2 linked regions of the Oreochromis niloticus genome follow. The protein of the gene in region 1 interacts with the protein of each later gene in a biochemical or structural test. Links are inferred from orthologs where the notes say so. Each region holds a gene or a part of one and is shown in the gene's direction. Other genes may lie near its edges.

Region 1 (15,269 bases):
AATGACTCAGCGTAGCACAACCTTCTCTGACAGGATCAGTATAGCCTATCAGGTTTCAGGGGTTGTTGTCATCTGACCTCTTTGGCTGATTAATTACTCTCCAGGTTTTCCATTAGTCTTCACGTAGGCTGTATTTGACTGTCTTTCGTATTGCTAAAACTGTCACTAACGTGGTCGAATAATCAGCAGTAAATCAGCTATGTTCACAGAGTAGAGCTGACGAACAGGAATGACAGCCTGATTGGGTAGTAACACAAATATTTGCTGTGTTAAAGTACCATTATTCACTGTTTCTCTCCATTGTCACTAAATGGTGTTTCAAGGCCAATCTGTTCATTCTGACTCCCCCCACCCCCCACCCCACTCCCTGTCTTTGGATCCTCAGCGGCACTTCAGGCCTTGAAAAGAAAGAAGCGGTACGAGAAGCAGCTCGAGCAGATCGATGGGACGCTGTCCACCATCGAATTCCAGCGGGAGGCTCTGGAGAACGCTAACACCAACACTGAAGTGCTCAAAAACATGGGCTTCGCTGCCAAGGCCATGAAGTCTGCTCATGAAAACATGTAAGAGCGAGCACCAAGGCCTGATCGATTGGACTGGGACAAAACCTCTCTGCACAGATTATATTTGCAACTTCCTTTTTGTTACTGAGACTAAAGCAAGTGTAAAGAAGATTCAGTCAGTTCTGAAATGATCAAAAATATTACAAGGAAGCTTTGCTGATAATGAAATGCATATAATTTCACCAACATGCAGTAATCCTTTCTTTTATGCATTTATTTCAGTCAGTATCTGTATGTTTTGAAATGTAACCATAAAAAAGTGTATGTGGGTTTCACTGCCATGTATATTAAAAGCCTGACATCCTCCTTAGTTTTTACCGTAGAACTACTCACACATCTAATCGTCATATTTAGATTAAATAGCCTCTTTTATAAAACTTATATGAGTGAATTCTCTTTGCTCACACTCTTTCCTTCTTATTTCAGGGACATTGACAAAGTGGATGAACTGATGCAGGACATTACAGAGCAGCAGGAACTGGCCCAGGAAATCTCTGACGCCATCTCTAAACCTGTGGGCTTTGGAGAGGAGTTTGATGAGGTAGGTGAAGCTCTTCAGGTGTTTTCTGTTTACATTTATGTGGTATATCTGTCATCTGTTAGTATTAAATATTTGTGATTCTAAACGTGCAAGTGCCTCATTTTATTCACAGATTTTATTACCAAAAATAAATTGAGAGCATAGCAAAATAAAACAGGTAATGATGATTAAAGAAAAAAGACTCCATTCTAAGCTTAAATCAAAAAAACGAAATGGTACAGGAGGGTTCATATGTACTTGCATCCACAGCAACATATTGATAACTGCAGATACACACTGTTACGACCCTGGCTTGTAGGCACGTTAAAGTGTGCTTTAACCAAGATGGAGAAGGTGGAGTTGCACCTAAAAGGTTTTAATAGATTCTTTTAAAATGTTTTTTGATGTCTTTTTTCACAAAAGGAGACAAAAAACAACTACACCCACATTTAAAAGAAAAAACCTCAACCTTTGGTACCACCTTGAGATCTGTTGTCTGTACACAGAGTAGTCATGCATGGTGCATATATATAAAGATGAAACTGGCAGCCCCTTCCAGCCAGCTTCTGTAATAATCTGGAGCTTGTTTGGAACACAGGACTGGGGCAGCAGTCCATCAGCAAATGTAGAAGGTAGAGTAATGAAGAACCAGGGACCAATCAGGAGAAGGGCTCTGCACACTAACGAGCATGCAAAGCAGTTGAACCACACAACGGAGAGAGTGTAGAGAGACACTGGGCTTTAACACACAGCCTCCCACAACCACATACACGTACAGTTATTTAAATGTGCATTTATGCATATGCTCCATACTTAGTTTATACTATGTCTATGCCCTACATCTGTCTAGTTGTTACTGGTTTCCAGTGTCTATTCTAATCCTTTCTCATTCACATTAAACACATTTCTAAATTCTGCTGTGTTCCACCGTGAATCCTCTTGGCCACAGTGAAATCGTTCTGTATTTTGTATCTTTGCTTATCTAAGCAAAGATGCAAAAGACGATGATGATGGGATTTTACTGCACATGACATAAGCATCTTTTTATACGCCTGACTCAGAAATATCATTACTCATATCTTAGAGAGTTGCTTTTATCCCGTGTTTGGAGTGTGAATGTTGCACTGATAATGATATTGGGTTAACCCAGTATAGCCGAGTCTGGTTATTAGTTTTTATATCTTTTTGCTTTTGCTGGTATGAATACATTGGTGCTGGTCTTCATCCTTGGGGTCAATTTCTTTGCTTCTCAGGATGAGCTGCTTGCCGAGCTGGACGAGCTGGAACAGGAAGAGCTGGACAAAAATCTGCTGGAGATCGGTGGACCCGAGACCGCTCCTCTCCCCAATGTGCCTTCGACCTCATTACCTTCCAGACCTGGTAAGAACTCTTCAAGAAAAGCCATGAAACACTTTAGCAACCCCGACTGCAGGTTTGTGTGTTTGTTTTGTCCTGCTTTAGAGAAGATTTAGGTGTTGCTGCTGGCTCTCAGGAGTTGCTAGGTGACCTGGTGTGTAACCATTCGCATCGCATTTTTTACGTTGTTCGCTGGAGATACAAACTGTTAATTACTAACTTTCAGTGATGCTGCTGCAATGGTTTTATTTTTAGTTATATAGCACCAAATCACAACAGCGGTTTCCTCAAGGAGCTTTATTTCATAGGATCTTTACCTTTATCCTGAGCTAAAGATGCTGTTATAATAAAGGAAAAAAAACAAGCAGACGATCCCTTATGAGCAGGCACTTGCCCCAAAGGTCACATGGTCAGCTTATCCAGCCCTAACTATATGCTTTATCAAAAAGAAAGTTTTAAGCCTAATATTAAAAGTATAAAGTATATAAGTAGTGTCTGAGAGTAAAGTGCTCGAATGGAATTATTATACAAGACCTTGAACCTGAGGAGAGGATTTTAAATTCAATCCTGGATTTATCAGGAAGCCAATGAAGAGAAGCCAGTATGGGAGAAATGTGTTGTCTCTTTCTAGTCCCTGTCAGTGCTCTTGCAGCAGTATTTTGTAATAATGAATTACAATAGTACTGCCTAGAAGTGATTAATGCTGAATGAGGATTTGATGAGATCCTCAGATCACATCTTTTATTTCTGTCCTCCTCCTCCCTCCCACAGCCAGGAAAGAGGAGGACGAGGACGACATGGAGGACCTGCAGCGCTGGGCGATGGAAGCCATGTAAATGCAGCATCCGCCACATCACACCTGCATCGGAGAGGAAAGGAAAAAGGGGGGAACGAATGGACTGATGGGATGTTGTGTCTGAGTGTTTCTGTGTGTCTGAGGAGAGTGGACTGTCTACTTTATGTGTAACACTACAAAACAAAAAAAGCAACAATGCTGTAGTCTTTCTTTTCCTTTTCCCCTTTAGAGACCCCCAAGGTGCTCAGTACAAATGAGCCCGTGAGGGTCTGCTATACTGGACAAAGTCACCTAATATTTTTACCCTCAATTTTAATGCAGCACTTTGTGGTCCTTGTTGTGTGCCATGCTGGTGGCCACAGATTTCATGTCGCGGGGTGGTGTTATGAGCTGGATGGTGCAGTAGATGGAGTTATTTACCAAGCTGTTGGCATTGTTAACATCGCTGGATGATAAGGGGGGGGGGGGGGGGTGTTTAAGGATGATTAATGCTTAAAAAATCTTTCCGATTTCTCCCGTTTACCTATTTGTGGCATTTTTTTGTGTTGTTGTTTTTTGTTTTTTTATTTTCTTGACAAAATAACCCGTTGCTCCCTCGTCTTGTTAACTGCTCTGGAAATGAAGGTTCAGCTGAGCGTGTGCTGGCTGAAGAAGCTTTGAGCTGTGTGTGTTTGCCAGAATCCAAACCTCTTCTTTCATTTCAGGTTGGGTTCTTCGACCTCCTCCCCCTCGCTCCTTCTTTGCCTCTCCCCTTACCCTCCCAACCCCATCAGTGGTTCTCGTTCTTTGGTGTAAATATCCCAGCTGAGTGTGTGTGGTGGGGGGGGGTTTGTTTGTTTGTTTGTTTGTTTTGTTTAAGTACACTGCATTATTGCTGCCATTGAGCGCTTCGGTTGATGCTGCGTGAAGCATGCAACGGTGGGGAAATCACGACACAGGTGACACCACACGGCTAGTAAGAGAGATGTATAACCTACCACTTTCATCCTCCTCTGTCTGTCCCACTCATAAAGGTTTTCATTTCAAAATGTATGTTTAAAAGAAAAAGGAAAAAAAGAAACTAGTAATATTAAACAGTTGTCACACCTTATTAACTGCATCCAGAGGGAGATGGTGGTTTATAAAAGATTAGATTATAGCCAATCTACACCACATGCATTTCAGAGTTTAAAAGAGTTGAATTCCTTTAGTTTTTCAGCAACATGATGTACATTTTTTACATAGAAAACGTAACACGAGGACAAATGGATAAGCATGTTTGCATTTCTATGTTTTATTTATCCAGATGAGAATATTATTTGCGAATCATTAAATGGTTTTCAATTCTTTCATTGTGGTGGAAGCATTGTCTGTTCATGCGTTTTGTTTTGGTTTTGGTTTTTGGTCAAATGACTAAGTTAAGCAGATCACCAGAGAAAGAAACAAAGTGTGAGTGAAGAAAAACCTCAGCGAGTACATTTTTAGCTTGAATATTAAATTGGTAACTAAAGCTTTGTTACAGAGTATTTCTAAAATCACTCCAGTCTTGTACTTTAAACAAGACAATGATGACAGAATCTTTTTTTTAGCAGTCAAAATCAACAATAATAATTTATTATTTTCTGGCAGATACCTTACTACCATTCAGATATGTTGTGATGGGATGTGGCATGAAATATTTCCTGTATCTGTCTCTTGAGGGAGCGGCAGTTGGGTAAGTATAGGAGAGGATGGCCAGTCACTGAGCCAGCCTTCCTGGTCAGTTTACTCATTCTGTTGGTGTCGCCAGCTCCCCCAGCAGAACAAAGTCCACTGTGCTCGTCACATCTACGTGATGAACATCTCCATGATGTCGCATCACATATTGGAGCATCTCAGCTTCCTTTGGAAACTGAGATCTGTGTTGATCTTCTCTTCAGCCGTTCAAGTGGACTCACAGGTACCTGTAGTCCTCCACCACATCAGCATCTTGTTCCAGGATAAGCACGGGTTGTGTAGCTGGAGGTTTTTTTCCTTTTCTTTTTCCATCATAAAAACACCAAAAAACAAATATTAACAAAATCTTTTTAAAGGCGATTTAAAGACGAGAACAGTAACTGGTCTGTTCCAAAGACACTAAAACCTAAAATATCCAGGTTTTGTATTCATTCAACAAAGTTTAACTAAAGGGAAAATCAATTTGCCGTGTCACTGGTCTTTTGTAGTTTTGAAAAATGGTGCCTGTTTATCAGACCTCAATGATTTTCCTTTAAAGTACAACTATTATTCTGGATATAGCACATTAGCTACATAGCGGCAAATATTTACATAATAATCAACGGCTGTATACAGTCATTGTGACATTATGACAATCATTATGAGATCAGAAGGTCATGAGATCAGAAGGGGAAATACATAATAAAAGATATGCTCCAGGTTGTAAAGAAAGAATGGGCTATACAGCATTGATAGCAGGTGTTATAGCCAAGTTTACCTATGCTTTATATCAACTGTCTAAATTTGACAGGAAGAAAATGTTCAAACAAACTCCCACTGCCACTCAAAAGGAAAATGTGATGAAAGATTACCTGAGACTAGCAGGGCTAGAAAATGTAATGAAAGATTACCTGAGACTAGCAGGGCTAAAAAAAATCTGATGAAATATTGTCTAACCCTGCCAGTCTCAGGTAATGTGATGAAAGATTACCTGAGACTAGCAGGGTTAGAAACAGATACCTATCCCTGCCAACATTCCTAAAAGGCAAAAGAAACACACTTCAACATGATAAAAAAAATTTTTTGATTGCAATGATTTTCTAAGACGCCAATTTAACATGAAATATTTCCTGTATCTGTCTCTTGAGGGAGCGGCAGTTGGGTAAGTATAGGAGAGGATGGCCAGTCACTGAGCCAGCCTTCCTGGTCAGTTTACTCATTCTGTTGGTGTCGCCAGCTCCCCCAGCAGAACAAAGTCCACTGTGCTCGTCACATCTACGTGATGAACATCTCCATGATGTCTCTTCACATATTGGAGCATCTCAGCTTCCTTTGGAAACTGAGATCTGTGTTGATCTTCTCTTCAGCTGTTCAAGTGGACTCACAGGTACCTGTAGTCCTCCACCACATCAGCATCTTGTTCCAGGATAAGCACGGGTTGTGTAGCTGGAGCTTTTTTCTTTTCTTTTCGCATCACAAAAACACCAAAAAACAAATATTAACAAAATCTTTTTAAAGGAGATTTAAAGACAAAGACGAGATAAGCAACTGGTCATTTTTGGGGGGTTTTAACTCCAAAGACACTAAAACCTAAAATATCCAGGTTTTGTATTCATTCAACAAAGTTTAACTAAAGAGAAAATCAATTTGCCGTGTCACTGGTCTTTTGTAGTCTTGAAAAATGGTGCCTGTTTATCAGACCTCAATGATTTTTCCTTTAAAGTACAACTATTATTCTGGATATAGCACATTAGCTACATAGCGGCAAATATTTACATAATAATCAGTGGCTGTATACAGTCATTGTGACATTATGACAATCATTATGAGATCAGAAGGGGAAATACATAATAAAAGATATGCTTTTAAAAGATATGCTCCAGGTTGTAAAGAAAGAATGGGCTATACAGCGTTGATAGCAGGTGTTATAGCCAAATTTACCTATGCTTTATATCAATTGTCTAAATTTGACAAGAAGAAAATGTTCAAACAAACTCCCACTGCCACTCAAAAGGAAAATCTGATGAAACATTACCTGAGACTAGCAGGGCTAGAAAATCTGATGAAAGATTACCTGAGACTAGCAGGGTTAGAAAATCTGATGAAAGATTACCTGAGACTAGCAGGGCTAGAAAATCTGATGAAAGATTACCTGAGACTAGCAGGGTTAGAAACAGATACCTATCCCTGCCAACCTTCCTAAGAGGCAAAAGAAACACACTTCAGAATGATAAATTATATTTAATTGCAATGATTTTCTAAGACAGCAATTTAACATTAAATATTTCCTGTTTATTCTGTCAAACACATAGTGAAACATTGGACCACATTCTTTATGGGTGTGTTCATTTTGGTATTTGTTTACTTTCAAAGGTTCACGTCAGAAAATGAAAATTCCTTAGTCAGGATTGCAACAAAGTGAAATATGGCCTGATAATGTAGAGCATGCTGTTTATAATTTTTTTAATTTGTTTTGTAAGTTTATTTTTACTGTATTATTTAATTGTATTCAAGTTGATTTTCTTTCCTTTTTTCTGGTACTATTCTCGCTGATATTCTCAGTCCTTTTTTTACTTAAATATTATTTTCTATCGTAATGTTATAATGACTAGTTTGTTGTTGATAAATGAAGGTTTAATTTTTTACTATTATAACTGTAAAAAATGAACTATATAAAAACGACAACGTGCATATTTAGCACCAATTTATTATTTCTGAGTCACGATCTTGAACGTTCCCTAAAAAATGCCAATGCGCAAGCGCAGAAAGGGGTGTCACCACGAGCACGTCAGGATTTGGCGACTTCACGCTTGCGCACTGTAGTCATACGCTGATGCAAGAAATTTTGGGCGAAGCGGTGTGGGACTGATCGAGGAAGAAAGAAGAGGCATTTTTATTTCACTGTTCAGCACGCAAACATGTCAGGAGACGAGGTAAGGCACTCCGAGTCAGACGCTGTTTAATCTGTGTAGGTGTGAAGAACTGTTGGACGGAATTCGTTGAGTTTCAGGCGCACATCGGTGCTGAGGATGACTTTGGGCCTCGACTCTGCTGCTCCCTCCCTTTCTGTCCGCAGTAGCGCTCACATGGCTGCTGCAGTCGGGCTAGCACGGCCCGAGCCAGCCGGAATATCAAGAAAATCATCAATTATATTGATATACAGCTATTTATCGGAGCATATACGTTATTTATTCTGAGCGTGGCTCATCAATCCAAGCTGTCGCAGCTTCCGCCGGACTCTCAGAGAAGAGTGGAAGCTAGCAATGTAGCCTTAGCTTCCCGTTACCAGAGCTGCGGAGCTAACTGTTAACGTTTTCTGCTGGAGACAAAAAGCTTTCTGTACCTCGGTTTGTCCTTAAGGACGGCTCCTGTGGCTGTAAAATAAAACCAAAATACCAGAATCACCGCTGCTTAATGTTAATAGTACGACATTTTTATTTTTATTATTATTTTTCTAACTGAATGGGGGCAGTCTGTGCAATATGTTAGTTAAAAATTCTGGAGGGTTGCTTTACCTCAAGCCGTTTTATTAAGAAACCTACAGCAGTAGGTAGTTTTCTTAATAGTGTACTGACACGCTCAGTGTGTCACTCAGTGTACACTGAATCAACTCAAGAGTCCAGCCTCTGTCTGTAAAGATGATATGCAGCATTTTGTTATCTGTTGTTTTCTTTGTTCAGTCCTTGATATGACTTCGTGTTACTTCTTTTGGCCTATAATGGAAAAAATAGCGTCTTTCCACAGTCCAGTTTTCATAACTGAAAACAAAACTAAATTTCACAAGCAAAAAATTTTCACACTAACTCCCACAGCCACTCAAAAGGAAAATCTGATGAAACAGTCAACGTTATGTATATTTAAAGCAACCATAAAGTGTCTGTACTAAATGAAGCTTGACAGCATTTCAATATTTATTTTAATGTTATTTTTTTATTCACTCTTTTTCAGATGATTTTCGATCCCAACATGACTAAGAAGAAAAAGAAGAAGAAGAAGCCCTTCATGCTGGAGGAGGACGGAGGAGAAGGGACAGGAGGAGAAGAAGCTAAGGAGGTGGAGACAAAGGAGGCAGAACCAGAGGCTGGAGATGACAAAGAGGTGGATCTAGATGAAGATGAAGGCAGGAAGAAAGGTTAGACTTTAGATCTATTTAAGGTGCGGTATCAGTTCACAACTATGTTGTGTAGAGTTAAGAGCTCAAAGGGTTTTTTGTTTTTTTTCCAGAGACGTCGGATGACTTGAACGACCTAAACTTCTTCAACCAGAAGAAAAAGAAGAAGAAACCCAAGAAAGTGTTTGAAAATGATATCGAGGAGGGATTGAAGGTCAGCCATTGATAAACATTTTCTGATTTTGCATTACTTTTAACTTTTTGCTTCTACTGATTTGGATTGGCTTACCAATAACTTTCACATGCTGAGTTTCACTTTTCACTTGTCCAAACCAGGAGCTGAAAATTGAAGGCGAGCAGACGGAAGCTATGGAGGAGGACAACCTGGATGTGAATTTCCTTACCAAAAAGAAGAAGCCAAAAAAAGTAGATTTCGATGATAGTGAGACCGCTGAGAAAGATGACGGTACGATGAAATCGCATGGTTTTGAAACTTAGGAACCGAAACAAGGGACAGGGATCTTTGACCCATAATGTAATTTTTCTTTTTTTTCTCCCAGCACCGGATGATGATGATGGCAAGAACGGTGATGGGATCTCCTTCAGCTCTTCCACAGGACCAGCCTGGGCTGGTTCGGAAAGAGACTACACCTACGACGAGGTAGGATGATACGTGAAATGAGAGAGTTAGAAACAATTCTGGAAAGGCAGAAAAAGAGCTGTCACAGTTGTTTGTGAAGTTATTTCCTGTAAAGTGGGATAAATATTAGACTGTTTTTGGTTGTTTTGTACTGTGTGAGGCTGTGTACGCATAGACATAATAGACTGTTGTATTTTTCTCTCTCTCATTAATAAATGTCCTGATGTTAAGACCTTAGCCCATTTGGTTTTGTGAGCCCCATCCCCACAGATTTTTTTAAACTGGAATTACTTTGCAAACAGTTTCTGCCTGAATAGAGCCAGTGTCCACTAACTTAGTGCTTTTATCTACATTTATGTTGAAGTTGTATTGAGTTTTGCACTGAATATTTAACGGCATTAAATGTACTTTTTGAATAGAGTTGTTAAAATCCCCCACTTATTGTTCTATGAGGAAATGAGTGAAACGGTTTGTAAAATTATAAAGGTGGATTTACCAGTTTGAGAACAGGGTTTATAAACAGCACAGATTTACACACTGCTTACCTTTTTATTTATTTTTTTTATTCTCAGCTGATCCCAGAGGGCTCTGAACTTCTGTCCTTTTATATTCTGTATTGAAAACTTTATGAACATAGACAAAAAAAACAAAGTCACAGTATTGTCTCTGTTCCAGCTCCTGAACAGAGTCTTCAACATAATGAGGGAGAAGAACCCCGACATGGTGGCTGGGGAGAAGAGGAAGTTTGTGATGAAGCCTCCCCAGGTGGTCCGAGTGGGAACCAAGAAAACCTCCTTTGTCAATTTCACAGACATCTGCAAACTGTGAGCCTCGTGTAGCTTTTTATATTTACTGACAGATGCATCTCAGTGACACTTGTAGTATGTGTGATTCACAAACTGATATTTTTATGTTTTTTTCATGCGATTAATCACAGGTTGCATCGTCAGCCTAAACATCTCCTCGCTTTTCTATTGGCTGAGCTGGGAACGAGGTACGCTTTTTGTATTTTAAGTGGTGTCAGTTCTCAAGCTAAGTTTGTGGCACGTTTTGTTTTTGTGTGTTCACTTTAAGTAAAAGTTTAATTTGCGTTTTTCTCTGTTAACAGCGGCTCCATTGACGGAAATAACCAGCTTGTGATCAAAGGCAGATTTCAACAGAAACAGATAGAAAATGTGTTGAGAAGATATATCAGTAAGTAGGAATGACATGTTCTTTACAGTGAAGTTACATTGATGGGGTAAAATTAAACCGTCCCTGCTTGTGAACAGTAATGTTGAGTGGACTGTTCTCACCCCTGCAGAGGAATATGTGACGTGTCACACCTGCCGCTCACCGGAGACCATCCTGCAGAAGGACACTCGTCTCTATTTCCTGCAGTGTGAGACGTGCCACTCCCGCTGCTCCGTTGCCAGCATCAAGACCGGTTTCCAGGCTGTGACGGGCAAGAGGGCGCAGCTCCGCGCCAAAGCTAACTAAAGGCCATTAAAACTGGGCTCCCCCCACCTCTTCTCACGGTCCGATCTTTCCCCATCAGAAGGGCCGAAGCTGGGGTCGGGCGCCCGCTTGATCTGCTAAAAGGACTCTCTGAATCGAACTGCGGGAGGGTTTGGCTGTCATTTTGGTTGTGTCACGGCCTGACCTGACAGGGAGTGAGAGTGTCTAAAGATGACAGATAGGGTTCAGGCACCTGTTAAACAACAGATGTTTGACACATACACTGCTGAAAGCATTTGATTTGTTTGGTTGGTGGACCCTCCAGCTCTTAGGGGTTTTTTTTTTTTGTTTGTTTGTTTTTTTTCTGTTTCCTATTTGCTGTGATTCTTGATTCCTCCAAAAAAAACCTTGATTTAACACAGCTTGAAGTTTACTTTTTGTTTATTTTCTCCCACTTTACATGCACCAGACATTAATATTTCTTCAGATTAGCCAAATTGTAGATAAGGTAAGTTCATCTACAGTAACAGAGCCTAGGAATAGTTTTTTTTCTTGAACTCAACTAAAGGGTGTGTTCATGTTTCTGCTCTTGTCCTAAATGATAATACAAAAAACTGTCAGTCTAGGATTTTCTACTCAAGCTTATAGAGACAAATCAGTCACGGGGCTGGAGTACATACAGGAACATGTCACTGAAACTAGTGTGTGAGGCTCCTAACACAGGACCTGCTTTTGATCATTTTGTAGCAGGAGACACAAAACCAGAAGACTTGGGGGCTGATGAAGGGGAGAGCAACATTAAGAGTACTCTAATAAAGGAGGCTGTTTATGAGACGAGTAGAAATTATTATTATACAGTATGTTTGTGAGTGCTTTTGTGGCACTGATGAGCAGTTTGTGTACTTATTTGATTAGAAAATTTTGTCAGCCACTTGAGGTTTGATGAAGTCAATTTGAAAATAAAGATTCAATTTTTCTCTTTTTTTTTCTCTCTCCGATGAGCAGGATTCATGAGCTAACGCCAGTCACTAAAATAATAAAGTAATAATAAACAACTTCTGAGCAGGCACCTCAGATCGTCTCCTCCTTCAGGTTCCTATTTTGCAGTGTGGTTAAAGAAATTTACACCAGAGTCTATCAATAAGTATCAATCTTAATTGTTTTGAGAGGAATGTGAATATAAAGGTCTCGCTGGAATCATTTTAAAACCTGGTTTTTACAAAAATAAAATATTCTACTCTCTCTCTCCACTACTTTCTCTGCTTGCATTAATGACAGTGCCTGTTTAGTAATTGTCAGTCATGGTAATGACGTTATGATGTTTTCACTCTGTCGCAATGGAAAAAGGTCGTAATGATCAGTGAACGGCTTTGGCTCTCGTCATTATGCCCCCCTCGCTTCACCCGTTTATAGATATGGCCATTTTTTTCGAGTCCCATTAAAATATTTAAGTCTTATTTGTGTGACTTGCTCAGATGTGATTGACGGTCCTTGTGAGGCCCACGGTTTGCTGTAATGATACAAACACAGACCCACAAGGTTAAAACATGAGCAGCTGATAACCATGGTAACTGGAGACAATGTCCTTGAGATCGGTAATAACATGTCGAGTTGCAGATTTATTTGGAACCTGACTGCAGGATAATATGGAAACTGGGTGCCATTGTTAGGTTTCCTCTGCAGGCCCAAATGTCACTATATCATTATATAATAGTTGTTGTTTTTTTAGCTGTGCTTAAACTACCAGTATGCAGGCGAACACATCAATCACTGATTTATAAGTCACATAAATCTGTCATAACCAGCCAGACTTAAGCACATAGCCTATCAGATAAGTACTCATTAATCTCCACCACTTGCCATATTATAAATGTGTTTCAACAATTTTATACAGCCAAACCATGGATGTTTAAGTTAAATTCACAAACTTTGCACTTATACTATTTGGAGTCAGAATATGGATGCTATAGATATAGTTCGCCAATTTATCCAATAGTTATCAAACCATTGAGGCTATGCTGTCTCAGTTCTGCTTCACTTTGTACAACTCAGACTTTCAATCAGTGCAACTCCAGGTGATGTCGCCTAAAGAAATACTCTGATTCTGCAGCAGCTGGATGTTTAAGTGATGAGGAGGAAATAGGCATTCAGAGCAAAAGTTAATGAATTTGTGGAGTGGTCATTGAGGAAGTATCCACTTCTGAATGTGAATAAGACCAAAGAAGTTGGTGACTGACTTTCAGAAGGACACGAACCGTGTGTATTCTGGGACAGACTGCTGATGTGGTGGAGGACTATGACTACCTGGGTAACCACATGAAAGGCCAGCACAGAGGCTTTAAACAGAAATTATAAATGATAGAGATAATCCGTCACGCAGCTGTGGGCCATATGCATCAGAAATGGTAATACCAACGGAGTGAATAAACTGAAGGCTGGTTCTGTGATTGGCTGCTAACGGGAATTTTTAAAGTCAACTTTATTGCAATAGAGACTTTACTATTCCAACAATTTACTGTTTAGATGTATGTTTTTTTAACTACCTAGTTTTTGTGACTGGAGGTGTTTTCTTTTTCTTTGTTTTTTTTTTCCTTTTTTGAATTAGTTAAGATGATCTCTGTATGTACCCAATGCAAACTACAGTTACAAAATGCCTCTAGTTGGAAATGACTGGGGTAGATTTTACATAGGATTTAACTAGTATTTTCCTCTCCTGTGCGTACTGTCTGCGGTTTTGTGTGATAAACGGTAGCTTTTAATTTGAAGTTCTGTTCCGGAAATTGATCATCGTTAGCTTCACGCTTATTGGCTGGATTTGGCGAAACAGCCGACCGGTTGCTGGCGCAGAGCTAACGGTAGTAGCATTCAGCAATTTCGGAGCAGTGGAAAGGAACAGTCGAGAACCACTGTAGGCGAACCACAATGCCTCGAGTTTATATCGGACGACTAAGCTATCATGTCCGCGAAAAAGATATTCAGCGTTTTTTCAGCGGCTATGGGAAGCTAATGGAGATTGATTTAAAAAACGGGTAAGTTTTCGGCGGAATTTTGTAAGCGAGAGTCCAACTAGCATGTCGTAGCTAGCATTAAAGCTAGCCATTCATGCGAACGACGCACGGACTCGCGGGGCATTTCACTCTTACGCAGATATATATATATATATATGTGTTTATATTTTTTTACAAGTTAAGTTTGATTCTAAAGGACAATATGTCGATGTCTGACATTTAGCATTGTCCTTGTAAATCTAAAAGGTTTTGTTTCTTTAACTTCATTCATGCACGTTTAGCAAATGTCGCGTGGCCAACATGGCGTCCTTATACTGTGCACGTCGCTGTGCTAACGTATGCTAACGCTAATTAGCTAGTTGATTCGTGGAAGTAAACGGGAACGCATTGCTTAAACTAATTTCATGTGGTTTTTAGTATTTCATACTCATGCATTTAAACCCTTTCTTTTTGCAGGTATGGATTCGTGGAGTTCGAAGATAATAGGGACGCCGACGACGCCGTTTACGAGCTAAACGGGAAGGAGCTGTGTGGGGAGCGGGTGATCGTCGAGCATGCCCGGGGCCCGCGACGAGACCGAGATGGCTACGGTGGGGGTTACTGGGGTGGTGGGCGCAGTAAGTGCAGTCTATTACAAGATACCCTCTCTTCCCCTTCCCCTTGGGGTGAGGTGTCGACGTGGACTGCACAGACAGCTGTTTGAATGATTCATGGTGACGCTAATTTTAACAGACTTGCCGCATAGGTTTACAGATACTCAGCTGGCCCTCGATCAGGTTTTTCCAGCTACCCCTCATGGGTTATAGCCAGCCGCGTGGGTAGCTCTTTAAGGCGCAGGTTGCATGCAGAGTTGTAGGACTGTCAGTAGAGCTATTGTTCATGTTGTCCATTATATCATGCAGTAACTTCATCACATGCAACCATGATTTATCTTCATTCTTATAAATCAGGGAGTCCAGTTTGGTTTGATATCACCCTGCTGAACAGTTCTCAGTCTGTCACCCAAGGGGTAGTGACCTGCAGGTTTTTGCTCCTCCATAGTGATTATCATCACGAGCTACATGCTATTTGATACTGCTTTATTTGATTGCAAGGGGCAACAATCTGCGAGATTTAAAGAGCAGTTTTGAGTCTAGAGTTTAGTGTTGTTAAATAACATAGTTT
Region 2 (15,963 bases), on another chromosome or scaffold:
AAGAGCTTCCAGCAACAGAGAGAGACCTTAAAGAAAACTCTAACAGACAGAAGTCGAGAGCAGCAAGGTAAGAAGAAGTTGACATGCTCAGCGTGTTTTAACAGTCTTGTGATAATTTGCCTTTTAAAGCAAATTTCTTTGTAATAACAGGGAAGAATTGGTATCCAAAGAAGAGTAAGAAACAGAGGAAGAAGAGCACGTCACAGTCGAGCAAAAGTACAGGTAAGGCTTTCTTCTCTTGTGTCGCTCTTCAGCGGTTTGAGAAATAATCCCATTTAAAAGTGGGCTCTGGTTACAGTCTTAACCCAGTGTCGCTCTGTCTTTATCACACGTGAAAGACCACTTCCACACCAGAGCTGACACGTCTCGTCTTTCTCACTTCAGCTTGATCAGACTTGGTGTGTCTCCGGTCAGATTAGTCCTACCCTCACAGACAGGATCAGAGGGAGCACGAACAGGTGACCAGCAGGTGCCTAAATGGCTTGGAGGAACCTGTGCTGTGATTGGCTCACACATAGAAACACAAATATTCACTAAGTGGCACACATACTGTTCTAATGAACCTGATCCATGGCTAAAAGTGGCAAGACTGTGAGCCATGAGGGTCAGAAATGAAGCACTGTGAAAATTTTTTTTGACTCAAACACTGTAAATTTATTGATCTCTTAATCCCATGCATCTTTCTATCCTCCACAGAGAGGTCACAGGTCAGCCCAAGAGCTCAAAGTAATTGGTATGTAGTTCAGGAATGTTTCAATAACCCCTCCCACACCGTCTCCTCAGACTACGATGACATCCTGACCTATGAGGAGATGTCGCTCTATCACCAGCCTGCCAACCGCAAACGCCCCATAGCTCTGATCGGCCCAACAAACAGCGGTCACGATGAGCTGCGCCGGAGGCTTCTTTCCATCGAACCCGAGAAGTTTGCCGTCGCTGTTCCACGTAAGTCTCCGCTTGGTCAAAGCGACAGAGCCCAGAGCGAGGCGACGTGAAATGTTAATCACAGACCTCAGATGAGGAGCGGAACGTGTTTCTGGTGTTCAGTAAAGAAGTGAAACCATTTAACTTATCACATAATGCACAACTGTTTGTCACACAAAGAAATTAAAAAATATATATCTAGACAACGTAAAGCTCAGAAAATGAGTAAAACAGTTATATCTGTCCTCCTTAACGGCTCAGACACAACCAGGAGCCCGAGGATACATGAGCGGAATGGGCGCGAGTACCATTTTGTAACTCGTTCTGCCTTTGAAGCCGACTTGGCGACGGGGAAGTTCATCGAATCGGGGGAGTACGAGAAGAACTTGTACGGCACCAGCACAGACTCCGTCCGACACGTCATCAACTCTGGACGCATCTGTCTGCTCTGCCTACACACAAGGGTAGGAGACCTCGTTACTGTCCAGACACTAACATGTTAATTACAAAGCCCGTTAGATCCTCCCTCATCTGTGATCTTAACCACTGTGGCCCTGCCAGAACATAATGACCCCTTTTCATTTCCTCAACATAAATCTTAATCCTGTTTAAGCCTGATCAAAGCTGAAATAACACATTTGAAGACACCATATTTAATCTGTGTTTTTTTTCCTTGTGCTGCTCTTTCCATTCATTTTGTTTCTTTGTGCCTTGATTTTTTTCTTCTGTCAGTCACTGCGAGTCCTGAGATCCTCCAACCTTAAGCCATATGTGATCTTCATAGCGCCTCCTTCTCAGGAGCGACTACGCACCCTGCTGGCCACAGAGGGGAAAACACCAAAGGTAAACGCTGACCAGCTCAGAAAAGAAAACATAGTTCAGGCAGAGCAGGGAACGACCATTAGTTACTCACATATATTGCAAAAAATCTGGTCTCTAACTCACAGAATCGTCATGAGATAGTAAAGCTAGAGGTAAGATGCACGCAAACCAAACAAAAGTGAAATTGTGTGTAAACACAAAGGCAAAAATGGGCATTGTTTCATCAGTCATGGAGAGCAGTACATACACATAGTCCTGTTTATAAATTGCATACAGTGTTAGCCCAATTTCCGAACCCAGCGTTAGTCATGAATTAATAATTCATGTAATTTTGCTTGTTGAAAAAGACTCTTTAGACCATAAACTCTTAGACAAAATTGTGACTAAAGAAGTAAAGAAGTAGAGAGAAGGAAAGGTGTTTGGTTTAATGGTTTCAGAAACAACCAAGCCCACACAAACGCTTTGTGACTGTTTGGCTGTGAAAAGCACTTAATTAATAAATAAATTTTACTTACTTTACTAAATAAAATGACAGCATCACATCATCGGCTTTTCAAAAGTCTGTCAGCACAGCACCAGTCTTTGAAGTAGTGCCGGCCAAGATAATGATATACAAATAAAAATAAAAAATGGATCAAAAAACAAAAACAAGATCTCATCCTTTTCATTTATGTGTTAACTTATAGAGAAAGAAGAATTTATAGCATCACCTGAAGAGAAAGGCAAATCAGTTTTACTCTTTTATGACGAACAAAAGGTGATTCCATAATAAAAAATGCCTTTTTTTAAAATTATTTTAAATTTTATCACACTATTTTTGACTTGAACTTCATAACAGACTTACTCTAAAAAAACAACAACACATGAGACATTCTTATAGATCGCAGTTAACATGTGTGGAAAAGTCCCAGGCACGTTTTTATGTGTGTACACCGTTGTTTAAATGTATTGGATCCAAATTTAGATATAAAAATCAGTAGATAAACATTATCTCTGTTCATGAAGACTGCTATTGAGAATGAAGACCTGTAATAATAAGAGTCACTACTGCAGTTTCTTGAACTGATGTCCATCTCCTGTGCACAGCCGGAGATGCTGAAGGAGGTCATTGAAAAGGCCCGCGAGATGGAGCAAAATTTCGGCCACTACTTTGATGCGACCATCTTGAACGTGGATCCAGACCAGGCTTTCCACGAGCTGCGCAGGCTGATAGATAAACTGGACACTGAGCCCCAGTGGGTGCCCACGTCCTGGCTGTGTTAGAGGTCACTGTGTCCCAGCACCATGATTTGGAGGAGGTAAACAGAAGACTGGAGAGTGAAAAACAAACCAAGGACGGTTGGTAAACTGTCACTGGAATTTGACTTGCACATTTTCCTCGTTTGTAGAGGAGGTGATCGTTACAGGGATGGACTCAATTTTAATCTTTGATTTTGTTGTCGGTGTGTGTGTCTGTTGGTGATTTTTGTTTCTCTGTTGATCTCAGTTTTATGCAAAGTCATTTATCAACAAAATAGAACCATTTCTATTCTATGCTTAATAGTTATTTATAATTGTACATACATATTTTCTAGACCAAAGGATCAAGTGTTGTGTGTGTGAGAGTCTTTATGTGTTGGTTTTTAATTGGCTCCCTGATGAAACAGCAGATCAGAAACTCTTTAGGTACCAAACAGAAGAGAAGGATCAGTGCTTTAAGTGGCTGCAGGGCACCGTCTTCCACTCAGAAGTACAGGAGAGAGATCTGCTGTAATCTGCACAGTTTGGAGGTACTTCCATTGTCAGTATTTTATTTTGTGTCTCATTTTATGATTTTACGCTGTGATAACAAACCACTGTAGCTGGTTGTCGTTACAAACAGTAATGCTGCTAAGTACTGCCGAGTTTCTGGTTTTATTTTTTTTGTTTTTCTATCAGTATTGATAAGAGCTGTTATCAGTTAGTGTGATTCCAATTCCAACAAATACTGTATTGATTCTTTGCAGTTCATTTGCAAATTCATAGGCACAATTCTGTGCTCATGAATTGTTAATAAAATAAAACACATGTGAACAAGTCACATATTTTGTCTGGCTTTTATATCAAAGAGAAGGTTTTCTTTTTATCTTTTCTGTAGTTCTGAGTTTTCATTTCAGTTCAGATTCCAGGTTTGGTTTTTAGTTTTTGTTTTCAGTGTTAGTTTTATTTTTTATATGGTTATATTTGGGTATTTGTCAGGACAAGATTGTTCAGAAGTTCAGAAAATATATATTGAGCAGCCACCTTGTTAGATACATTTGTACCTGGTTTGAATGAATAGTCTAAACCAGCGGTCCCCAACCTTTTTGCGCCACGTACCGGTTTATGTCCGACAGTATTTTCACGGACCAGCCTTTGGTGTCACGGATAAATACAACAAAATAAAACCAGTAACAGTACCAAAAAAAGAAGATCCTAACACATGGGAAAAGACCCAGGGAAACAGAGTTAACAATAAAAACCCTGAAAACCATAAATTTCACACACGAGCCTCAACTCTCGTGGCCCGATACCTGTTACTGGTCTGTGGCCCTGGGGTTGGGGACCGCTGGTCTAAACCACTAGCTACTTGTCAGGGCCAAGATATGCAGAAGAGCATCTCCAAATGCACAATATATTGAACCTTGAAGCAGGTTCAATATAGAGGATCAAACCGGCTGCAGCTAAGGACAGGAAGCAATAACCATGTCCATCAAAGCCATCAGGCACGTTTTCAAAACAAATCTGACCAAACTGGCAAAAGACTTATCAGCATGCTAGATTTTTTTTCTTTCATAAGTTTAGATTGCAGTTAAAAACATTTTTCGACGCAGAGTGTTAATGTGTCTAAATCTACTGTGGTGCCACTCTTGCCCAGAGCCACTGGGTAACTAACTAAAGTTCCTTATTCAGTTTCTCCTCTCACTTAAATGGGGTGTATCCAATAGTGAGAACACCTCTGAAATGGATTTCCTTTGAAAAAAGATAACTTTTAATTTTTTAAAATGCATTTTAAATACATTTAGCATTCTGGTCCCAAATTGCCATCATTCCTTATCTATAGAGTTGCTTAAACACAGTATAATTTGCACTTGATTAAAGGTTTGAAGCCGTCTCTTAGCAGTCTTCCCCAATTGTCTTTACATATGGAACTTAAAATGTTTTCCCTTCAGTGGGGGGGAAAAAAAAGAAATTCAATCAGTGGTTGAATATTTAGAACATCTTTATTTGGATGAAGTGTTGGGCTGTTTTGACTTGCACATCACATTTTACAACAGGGTCACATTGGGGCTTCTGGTGAAATGGTAAACAGCCTCCAGTGAGGTAACAGGAACCGCACGATATGAAGTGAGCAGCGGGACGGGTCTCCACGGCGCACACTCGCACCCTCTGAAATCCACAACCACTTTAAGCTGTACAGCATGCAATGCCTCTATATATGATAAAACTTGAATATCTACAAGGTGATCAGTCACACGGGACGCTTCTTTATCATCACTTGCACACCATGTGTAAACATACTCATTGTAATATTTGCTTAATTTTTTAGAGACTGCTTTGGTCTCACTTGTGTATTATACCGAACAGCACTTTGATCCCTGTACACATCTGGAAACACTCAGAACAAATCATCACGACGTGGACACAAAAAAAAGAAACAACTTTCATCGCTGACGTAAAGAGACGCAGACTTGGCCAGAAAGGCACAGAATAAATAAAAGGATTAGTGAAGTCGGTGGCCTATAATGCTCCTCACTCAAACAGCAGATCTTCATCCGCCTCCTCTGTCAGCATGTTGGCGGGCTCAGCGATGGGTCCCAGAGCAGCTAAACGGGCGGCTATTTCCAACTCCGTCTTTTCCCTTAGCTGCTTCTTCTTCTCTTGGATCTTCTTCAGTCTGGCAAAGCAGAGAGCAGAGAACATTCTGTGTTATAACCAAAAATTGAGGATTGCGCAGTCTGGTTTTGGACTTAAGTTGCTGGGGTAGTGACAGAATGAATTCGGAGCTGTGGACAGCCAGCTGGAACAAGAATATCTAATAAACATGCAAAAGATGCCTCCTGATAAGTTTTTTATAGGTTTATGCACTAAAACCTTCACAAGGCAGACAGAAAACATCGTCACCTGTAAAACTCCTCTCGCTCCCTCTCATCCAGCTCTGTGATGATGTAGGTGAGGGTGCGATCAATCCTGGGAATAATCACTGCAAAGCGGATTCAAAATTATTTTAGCTGCACCAACCCTTATTTTATTTAAAAGGCTGCAGTTGAATGTTAAGTGTGTTTACCGTGCTCGATGGCGTTCACACGGCGGTTGGTGATCTTTATGGCTTCATCCAGAGTGACAAAAGATGTCTGCAAACCAAAATTGAGCAATTTTTAACACTTAAACTTCAGCTTTTCTAGAGTATAGATTACATTTCATCTGCATCTGTAATCCACACAAACTCAGTGTAATGAATGTATCCTTTGTGGAAATGTTATAGTGATATGCCACACAGCAGGAATACACAAACCATAGCGGGAGACGCTACCCCTTTGTCTTCATGAGTTGTTTTGGTCATTTAGGATGTGAGCCTTTGATTATACACTCACATTATGCACAGTTACATGTGAGATCATCAATACAATTTTAGTTTCATTGAGTGACGTTACATTGTGCTTTTTTCAATGATAATACCATCACCCTAACTATAAAGCATGCTTTTAATATGTAACAGCGCCTCCTACCTGTAAGGAGGCCAACTCCACAAGCAGCTCCACAGCTCTGGCATAGTTCCTCTTCAACCTCGAGAGCTGCTCTCCTCCTCTCGCCAAACCGGTGAGCTCATAACCTGACAGACACAAACACATCGTGGGGTGAGGAAGAGCGCTCTCTGCGATTCCCTTCAAACCCAATGTAGAGTTACACCAAACTCAGACATGTAACTGGACTTACTGTCTCCGCCTTCTTGGTAGTGTTCGAATACTGGAAGGGTGACACCTAAAAGAAGAAAAGCAGCAGATATTTTAAACAAAACAAAACAAAAAATGATTAAAAATGAGAAGATATTTTTGATGCTAACCTGCCACATTGTCTTTCTTGGCTCTGACCTTCACCTGGGCTTTGTTAACATTCTGGATTACAGTTGTGCTGTAGACAAAAACAACAGATGGAAGTTGTTTGTGTTTCTGCACCAGAACACAACATCACGTCGCTGACACGTTATTCTCATTCTTACCTGAAGTCTCCTGCAGCAAATTTAGCTTCAGCCAATGAGAAGGCAGCCTCCCTCATCACCTCTCCCATCTTGGTTTTAGTCTAAAAGTATAAACACACCTTTGGGAAACACGCAGCTGAAAGCCTTCATGAAGATTTTATTTCATGAGGTTTTGATTCAGACTGGCTGTAATTTGTTGGTTCATAACAATGAAGGTACCCAATTAATTACTATAGAAACACCTCTTAGTATCAGATTAATTGACCATTATCATGAGCTACAGCCTCCAACCAAAATGCATGATGTATGAATAAAGTATTTATCGCATCATCTGTTCTTTCAGACTGTATTAGGACCAAAAATGAAGGCTCATGTTAAACTGACTTCAATAATTTTGCGAAGGATCTGACGGAAGCGCATGGAGAGGGCATCGGACTTCTTCTTGAGCAGGTTGCGGCCGGTCTGTGCTCCCTTCAGCCGAGCCTTCATGATGGTCTGAGCCCTGCAAATCCAGAGAAACCCACATATTTTTAACACTCTATTTGAATCAGACAGTTAAATTAGGGGTAAAATGACACAACCAAGTTTCATTCATTTCATCTCCTTGTCATGTTTTCACTCAGACCTTAGGCCATCCCAAGGTCTCTGTCTCTCTTCCCTGGTAGTTGATACCCTCACCCCAGTTTTTTTTTTTTTAACCGGCATTTCAGATTTTCCTCTTTTCTCTCTCGACCTCTATGCTTGTTAAAGCTCTTTTTTTTTTTTTTTAATGGATTTGCTTCTAATTTTCCACATTTCATCATTTTATGTCATATACTGGTTCAATGGGTCATCTCTGAAGGACAGGAACAGCCTTAAAAACATTATTAAAGACGTATACTCCAAGAGTACCAAGTCCAAAGAAATGTGTAGTTCAGAAAGAAAAGGGTCTTATTAGTCAAGGTGGCCACATTCTCTCTAGTGAGTTTATTTCAATGCCCTCAGGGCAGGGCTATCATGCACCCATGAAGACAAAAAAACCACTACTGAAACTCCTCTGTTCCCTCTTCTATCAGGCTACTAAATGCTAATTGTCAAGAGTAGTAGTTTGTTCTGGAGCACCAGTGTGGTTCACTGGTTTTAGCAGGCAAACCTGTATATTATAGGGCTATAGTGTGGAGGCCTGGGTTCTAATTCAACTGGCCATTTGCTGGCTTACCTTAAAAAATGAATAAGTAGTAGTATCTGTTCTTCTCTTTCATCTAGCTAATGCATAAGTCCATGTGTTGTAGTTCTGGTGGGAGACCTTACAATGAGCTCCTGACAAGTTGAATTTTATCTGCTAAATAGCTAAGTAGTTGTAACTCACTTGTTATTGACTGCTCATTGACTTTTCATTTAAATTATCATGACTGATAACTTTCAATTTAAATAAAGGCTAAATAAAAATTTCCAAATCACAATCTTTCCCCAGCTCTTTCCAGACTTGAGCAGGTGACTCATATGCAATAAGGCTGCCTTAGGCCTGCGCTGGAATTTAACATGGCTCCATAGTGTAAAGGTTAGAGATCCCTGGATTAAGACCAGATAAATATGGGGATCCATCCTCTGTGGAGCCCTCTTTGTGAATAAGGGAGCAGCCGAAAACATACAGCCATCAACATTCAAGCCCACTTTTGTGTCACATTACTCACAGATTGTTACATGTTAGATTGTTAACGATGTCATCCTGATCGTCTCTAATATAAATTTACTACGTTGCTCTATGCTGAATCCCTTCCCATCCTGGAAGAGAGATCCCATTGATTTTCCTGAGATTTCTTCTGTTTTTTACCATTTCAGAATTTTAGAAATTTTCAGAATTTTCAGAATTTTTTTTCGGGAGGAGATCTTATCTGAACCAAGAGTCTACGGACAGAAGGTGTTACATGCTGTAATTTGTGTAATAGCGTTATTTTTAAAACAAGGTAAGGATCAACACAATCTGCACCACTCCTCTACATACACAGCTCACTGATATTTGCACCCAGGAGCTGATGAAAGGGTCAAACCTCTGTGTTATACTGTTTCAGTGGTCGTAAATCTAATATAACTGGATGCAGGTGAAATTAGGTTAAAATGAAGTCGCTCCGACTGACAGCTCACACTTGGATAATGTGAGAAATATCACATGACAGCAGAAGGATTCTTCCTCTTTTAAACGGTAACCTTGGCACAAAACAAAACGGCGATCCCTGCTTTTCAAATGCATGCAGAAAATTATCCACAACTTTCATATATAAAAGCAAATATGTCAACAAAACAGTGGTATATGAGCTTTAAGGAAGCTACATTGCTTTAGCAACTAGCCATCGCACAAGCTGCTTACATTCTGGAGGGGAATATGTCGATCCTGTCTTTTCCAGACATCTTTCCGTTTTTTGTCGATTACTGCGATTTTCAGTTCACTCCCGCTTCCCTAAATCAACACTACAACTTTAGCTTGAATCCTGAATTATTAATCTAGACATATAACAGCTAAAATCTCGCTCTTCGTGTAGGATTAGAAGAGCAGATCGAGTTGACGGTCGTGATCTTGTCGGCGATGATCAGCTGGCCCTCCGCGTCATGTGACCAAAGAACCAATCTCGTTCCGCACATGCGCGCGTGTGGAAGGTCCCTACGATCTTTTCCGGGTCGACAAATTAGCACACCCATGAATGTGAGCTAGCGGGCCTGAGTTACTCATTAAAAAAAACAAAACACCAGAAAGAAAACCGAATCTGACATTTAAACAAAGTCAGCACGGAACATTCAGGCGCGTCGTTCTGTAACCTTATGACACAGGTGAGTTTGTTTTATGAAGATGTCGTTTGGCGGGGACTGGGGAACGATCGGAACTGGCAGATAGCCGGCTAACAGCTTAGCCTGCGTGTGCCGCATGTGAGCTGGGCACCGGGTTATTAGCTGGGAAGCTAACTGATGTTGAAAGAAAGCGTTTCTGCGCTTGAATGAACATTCTTCTCGTGGTTTTAAATGTGATAACTAGGAAGTCATACAGTCGCTGGTAACACGTACTAAATATTTGGTAAGCAGCTTTTTGTGTCCATATTTTGTCGCCGATTCTCTATTTTAAACAGTAAGTGATTTTTCTGCGATGATGATGCGTTACATCAGTCCATTCACAGCAACAGGGGAAAAAGACAAATGGCAGAAGTTTGTTTCATTTCCCTGCTTTTATTTTATGTCCTGGATATTTGTATATAAGCTAAACCTGGGCTTTGACTTTTGTTCAGTGGGAAAACATAGAAACACAGATAAGTGGCTCCATTCAAACGGACTGGGACTTTTCGTTTAATATTAAAGGTATCTCTCTACTATTTTGTCCACACCTTTCTTGATAGTAGACTAAGGATTAGAAAGAAAACATCTTTATGGCCAAAGTCTTTTTACAGGTTAAAGCCTCTAAAAATGACCGCAACTAATATTTTAAAATCTGAGTAAAATAGAAAAAATGATACTTTTCATTACAGTGTTCTTCCATAAACGGATGTCTTTACTGGTAGCTGAATATACTTCATGAACAGGCACTGCAGTGTATAGTTAAAATACTCTGATGTAGAAAGGGATTGATGTTAATTGGCTGACTGCAGCATTTTTCAAACTCAGAGTACTTGTGGTTGCTGACATTGTGTCCCAGTTGCCTGTCTGTGGCCTGCATACCCATGATATCACATCAAGGTGGTTATCATCACAATAAGTTAACACACAGTTTATCAACTCTCAAAGAAATGGACTAGCCATATACCAGCCCAGATAGTGGGTCCTGGAAGATGAGCCGACTCTGACCCACCAAAGAGGCATGGCATTCGTAGTGGTTTACACAAGAGGAAGGGAGGAGACGACTATCACTAGAGGATGATTTATATGTAAATGTTAAACAGAGGCACAAGATACAATATCTAGAGTCTTAAATCAGGAGTGTTGAGATCAAAGAATGGGAAAACAAAGGTGATAGGATCTAAGGGTCAAACACTCCAGGGGGTAGGCTGCTGTCCTCAGGTTACAGGGACAACAGGATGTTGAAAGCAAAAGATTTGGGGAATAGTAAGTCTGTCCCCATATTTGTCATCTCAATCTAGCTACAAGTGCGCTTACATAAGAGAGTTGGCATTGGCTGCATCCAATCAGTCATAAACCTGGATAAGCCTACTGCCAACAGGGACGTTGATTTTACAGAGGAGAAAACTATGATATTAGAAGAATATGAAGTGGTCATACACATAATACAGGCTGAAAGCAGCACAGCTGCTGCATACCAGTCCAGGAGATCTTGAATGGAATGATGACGCTGTTTCAAGGAGAGTTTGTTTGGTCATTAGGCAGTGATTTCATACAAGCTAATCTAGAAGTTAACATGGTGATGTGCCCTGGTAACAGGGGATTTGTGCTTCTGTGTTGAAAGCCTATGTTGTAACCTGACGTGTAATTAGACATTGTGTGGATGCAGCCCACAACTATTATGATTGTTCTGTATTTTTGAGTCCTCTTGTGTATTTCTGACTACTTTTTCACAGCATAGTTTGTATTTTATTAGTGAGAGAATAATAATGCCTCTATAATTTGTGGCTGACCCCACATATAAAACACTGATTCACAACCATTAAGTAATTAACACGTAATAGACCGTGCACAAGCATGAATGGATCATGGGTCCTGCTCCCTTTAGGGGTCACCACACTAGACCCTCTCATTCTGTTTCTAGCATCTGCTCTGTCACATGCTCTGCATGTCTCTTTCACTACATCTAAAAGGAGGATTGTCAGAGGGATGGTGTGACAGATTATTCACAAATTACTATAATTGAGATTAAAAAAGACAAAGAAAACCAGAATGAAATAATTTATACATGGTTCTCTGCTAATTTAATGTTGAGCTTTGATTGTGTTTAGTTGTGGGACTTCTTTTTAAACAACCTTTGGTGAAAACTGAAGCAGTGGAGGCAGAGATGCTAGTTACAAGTTATTGACCATTTTTTATTAACTAGAAAAAAAATTGTATTTATTAGTACTGAAACACCAAGTTACAGGGCGAGCAGTACTTTTCACAGTGTTTAAAACTGCAAAGTGAAGATTTGTGCCATGACTTGCAGACGTTAACCTCCCCCTGTCTTCTTAACTGTTTCTGACCTCACAGCAATGCCGGGGCTCAGCTGTCGATTTTACCAGCACCGGTTCCCAGAGGTGGAGGATGTCGTGATGGTGAACGTGAGGTCCATCGCTGAGATGGGCGCCTACGTCAGCCTTTTGGAGTACAACAACATTGAGGGCATGATCCTCCTGAGCGAGCTGTCGCGTCGACGTATCCGCTCCATCAACAAGCTCATCCGCATAGGCCGCAACGAGTGCGTGGTCGTCATCCGAGTAGACAAAGAGAAGGGTGAGTGTAGACTAATATAGTTGAAACTGGTGGCGTGTCGGATCTGCAGTGCCAAAGTGCTGGTGGAATAAAAACCATATGAAATGAGATCTTTTTGTGTGGTCCACATTTCCTTTTTTTGAATTGAAGTGTTATTCTGTGACGTCAGGTGGACTGTGGTTAGTAATATGATCAATAACTTACATTAAGTTATAGCATTCACCAGTTTAATATCAGGACAGTCTCACATGACACACAGAATATCTAATTTGGAATAATTAACGGGGACCTGCTCTAATGAGGTCACCATATGTATGGGTAATTCCTGAAGCTCAGGCTGCTTTTTAATGCACCATTTCAGACCCTTCTTGTGCTTTCGGCTCTGTATGATGTCACTAAGAGGTGATATCTTTATCTGTTCAACAGTTCTGTGGGAACTGCAGCTCCACCCACCTGCTGTTCAAAACTTCTCTTTTCCAGGGACAGCCCAGTCAGATGAAAGTTTGCCTTAAACAGCTTGTTTGAGAGAGTGGGTGAACTGAGGAACTGAGGCTCATTATAAGATGAATGAAGATGATGATTTTTGAGTTTATAATAACCACCACGCTGGCATCAAGTTGAAAAAACAGTAGTTACAAAAATGTAATTTAGAATAGCAGAATACCTCTATGCACAAATCTAAATGTACCTATTTAGATATTACATATTTCATACATTCAAAAAGAAAAAAGAAAAAGAAAACTAACATGAATTAAGCATGACCACTTTGAACTGAGCTACTGAACTGGACATTTTCTGCTTATCGTAAAATATACAGCTCATTTGACTCATATTACGTGACTATTTTCTTTATATAGATAGATAGTTGTGCAGTTTTGACCTGTGATCCATGTACAGCTGGTAATGAGGAAATAAAGACGAGCTCATTTTGAAACTTAGACCAGCAAGTGGCCATCAAATCCCTCCCTGTTAGTTAATCGTATCATTCTTAATTGTAAGAAACTACTTGCTGCACTAAAACAGCTTTTTTTGCATTCCTTCTGTTTTCTCCTCAGGATACATTGATTTATCAAAAAGAAGAGTTTCACCAGAGGAGGCCATCAAGTGTGAGGATAAATTCACCAAATCTAAAACTGTAAGTTGGTCAAATGCTTTTTATCTGTCTCGGTCATTTTGGTGCAAGTTGTCCAGCTCGTAGATGTCTTCCTTGTCTTGTGTACAGTTAAGTCGATGGAACTTGCCTTTGAGCCTTGTTGTGGTCAAAGGTAGTGGTTGTTTGGTTCAGGCGTTCATTATAATATTGTGAGACAAGTTAGATCTGTATTTGTAAGAAACTGTAAACAGCTATCTTGTTTGTTTTTACAATATTGTTTGGGCTGAGCTGATTTTTAAATTGTTTGCAGGTTTACAGCATCCTGCGACACGTGGCAGAGGTGTTGGAGTACACTAAGGACGAGCAGCTAGAGAGCTTGTACCAGCGCACCGCATGGGTCTTCGATGAGAAATACAAGCGGCCAGGATACGGCGCTTATGATGTCTTCAAACAGGCTGTATCGTAAGTTCTCATTTCAGCACTTCTTATTAAAATGAAACACAGGTTGTTCAGTGTGTGCACACATTTACATTTTGATGGCTTTCTGCAGAGATCCAGCTATTTTGGATGGGCTGGATTTAACAGAGGAGGAGAGGAATGTGTTGATTGATAACATCAACAGGCGACTCACTCCACAGGCTGTCAAGATCAGAGCAGGTGACTGTTTACTCACAGTGTTTCTCAGTTGGACTTAGGAATAAATTAGAAATGTGAAGATAACCTCCTCTACCTCGTGCAGACATTGAAGTGGCGTGCTATGGTTACGAGGGGATCGACGCCGTGAAAGAAGCTCTGAGGGCTGGGCTGGGCTGCTCCACAGAGGCCATGCCCATCAAGGTAATCTTTCTCTCTTCCATTAAGAAGTAAAAACTCTTATTTACCTTAATGAGTCTCTAGCTGTAGTCTCTACTTGGATTTCTCTCTCATGGCGTTTACCTTTTGCAGATCAACCTGATCGCTCCCCCTCGCTACGTGATGACGACGACCACCCTGGAGCGCACAGAGGGCCTCTCTGTCCTCAACCAGGCCATGGCTGCTATCAAGGAGAAGATTGAAGAGAAGAGGGGTGTCTTTAACATCCAGATGGAGGTGAATGATTTCACTTTTTTTTTTTGTCATGATCATGTTTGTTTTTAGCTCATCTGGCCAAAGGATCATTATGCTTAAACTGTAAACTTTGTCCTGCAGCCTAAGGTGGTGACGGACACGGATGAGACAGAGCTCGCCCGGCAGCTGGAGAGGTTAGAGCGCGAGAACGCCGAGGTGGATGGAGACGACGACGCTGAGGAGATGGAGGCCAAAGCAGAGGACTAAGAGTCGGTCCTCTTTGGAAAGCTGGTGGGGAGAAAAGCATCAAAGGAGGAAAGAAGAAAAGGAAACATGGACAGACCTGGCCTCAGTCACCCAGTCCAACAGATGTTAACTTTCACATTGCAACCATGAACTGGTGTTACTATTTTTATTGGCAACATCCCAGTTTGTTCAAGAGAGGTTTGTCTCAGAAGAAGGTAACTGAAAACGCAGTCTTTTTAACCAGACACGGACACAAGGATGGTTAAATTACAAGTTAAACATCACTTATAGTTTTTATTTTAACGTACCCCCATTTGATTAAATAACTCTAAAACAAGAAAAGCTGTTTTCAAGCTGTGGCCTTTCATTTTACCTCTTGCTTTAAGAGCCCGGTGTCTTCAGTATCCATGCCGCTTTATCTCCGGCTGCTCACTGGATGTGACTGACTGAAGGGGAAACGCATATGCTTCATCTGTCTCTACACCGGCCAGCGGTGACTTTATGTGCTGATTCTCTTCCAGTTAAAGGGTTTTTACTGGCTCTTGTTTAGCTCCCATCGTATCAATAAAGATCTGGAAGTTTTGATCTCAATGCCTTTTTGTCAGTCTAATTAAATTGTTCCACTAACAAGAAATAACATTTATTCTCCCAAAAAAGCAGCAATTATTAATATTGGATGAATTCAAGGTAAATCTCGTCGGTTACTCTCGCCTTTTTTGTTCTTTTTGTTTTTTTCAAATGGAGAGATTGTAATGAAGCCAACTGGAGATAGGTTTGACTGTATATCAACGTATGAATGCCAAGAACCCTAAACATTGGTTTAATATTCAGAAAACTTAGAACTCAGACTGTTTATCTGGAGGGAATTTTTTCTAAATTAGGGGACTTGTTACAAACTCATTGCTTTTTTAAGTTTCTTGCGTTTTAGTTTGAAACTTTAAGGCCCTATTTATTTTTCATTCTGCCAATTTAAGAGTTAGTTGAATTCTGATACAGGCAGCACAGTGGTTAGCACTGTTGCTTCACAGCAAAAAGGTCCTGAGTTCAACTCCATCAGGCTGGGATCTTTCTGTATAGAGTTTGCATGTTGTCCTCGTGTTTGCGTGAGTTCTCTGGCTTCCTCCCACAGTCTAAAGACATGCAATTAGTGGGGATAAGTTAATTGGAAACTCTAAATTGCCCATAAGTGTGAATGGTTGTCTGTGTTAGCCCAGCTGTTGAAAATCTGGTTATTTGTCTGCTCACAAAGAAACAGGGA

The links.
Region 2: the proteins of eif2s2 (region 1) and eif2s1b form a complex in vitro, tested with the Homo sapiens proteins (2 studies listed by BioGRID and IntAct). The link is inferred for Oreochromis niloticus from reciprocal best matches to the Homo sapiens genes EIF2S2 and EIF2S1.

Annotation. Positions count from the first base shown.
Region 1 is NC_031984.2:24,620,461-24,635,729, forward strand, and holds eif2s2 (eukaryotic translation initiation factor 2 subunit 2), read left to right. Parts: upstream 1-7,684; 5' UTR 7,685-7,827; coding exon 7,828-7,842; intron 7,843-8,857; coding exon 8,858-9,041; intron 9,042-9,133; coding exon 9,134-9,234; intron 9,235-9,356; coding exon 9,357-9,486; intron 9,487-9,580; coding exon 9,581-9,681; intron 9,682-10,335; coding exon 10,336-10,484; intron 10,485-10,597; coding exon 10,598-10,654; intron 10,655-10,768; coding exon 10,769-10,854; intron 10,855-10,963; coding exon 10,964-11,139; 3' UTR 11,140-12,347; downstream 12,348-15,269. Other genes in the region: charged multivesicular body protein 4b, read left to right, coding at 386-563, 990-1,104, 2,337-2,463, 3,211-3,275; serine/arginine-rich splicing factor 6, read left to right, coding at 14,020-14,126, 14,562-14,722.
Region 2 is NC_031980.2:14,221,030-14,236,992, reverse strand, and holds eif2s1b (eukaryotic translation initiation factor 2 subunit 1b), read left to right. Parts: upstream 1-9,588; 5' UTR 9,589-9,748; intron 9,749-9,858; exon of another isoform or gene 9,859-9,989; intron 9,990-12,097; 5' UTR 12,098-12,099; coding exon 12,100-12,340; intron 12,341-13,374; coding exon 13,375-13,454; intron 13,455-13,722; coding exon 13,723-13,874; intron 13,875-13,962; coding exon 13,963-14,069; intron 14,070-14,151; coding exon 14,152-14,249; intron 14,250-14,357; coding exon 14,358-14,501; intron 14,502-14,600; coding exon 14,601-14,726; 3' UTR 14,727-15,296; downstream 15,297-15,963. Other genes in the region: pals1b (MAGUK p55 subfamily member 5b), read left to right, coding at 1-67, 151-222, 784-945, 1,186-1,388, 1,657-1,767, 2,833-3,009; atp6v1d (V-type proton ATPase subunit D), read right to left, coding at 5,497-5,641, 5,869-5,947, 6,032-6,098, 6,474-6,577, 6,682-6,726, 6,809-6,876, 6,965-7,044, 7,328-7,445 and 1 more. UniProt on the Homo sapiens protein: Member of the eIF2 complex that functions in the early steps of protein synthesis by forming a ternary complex with GTP and initiator tRNA. This complex binds to a 40S ribosomal subunit, followed by mRNA binding to form a 43S pre-initiation complex (43S PIC).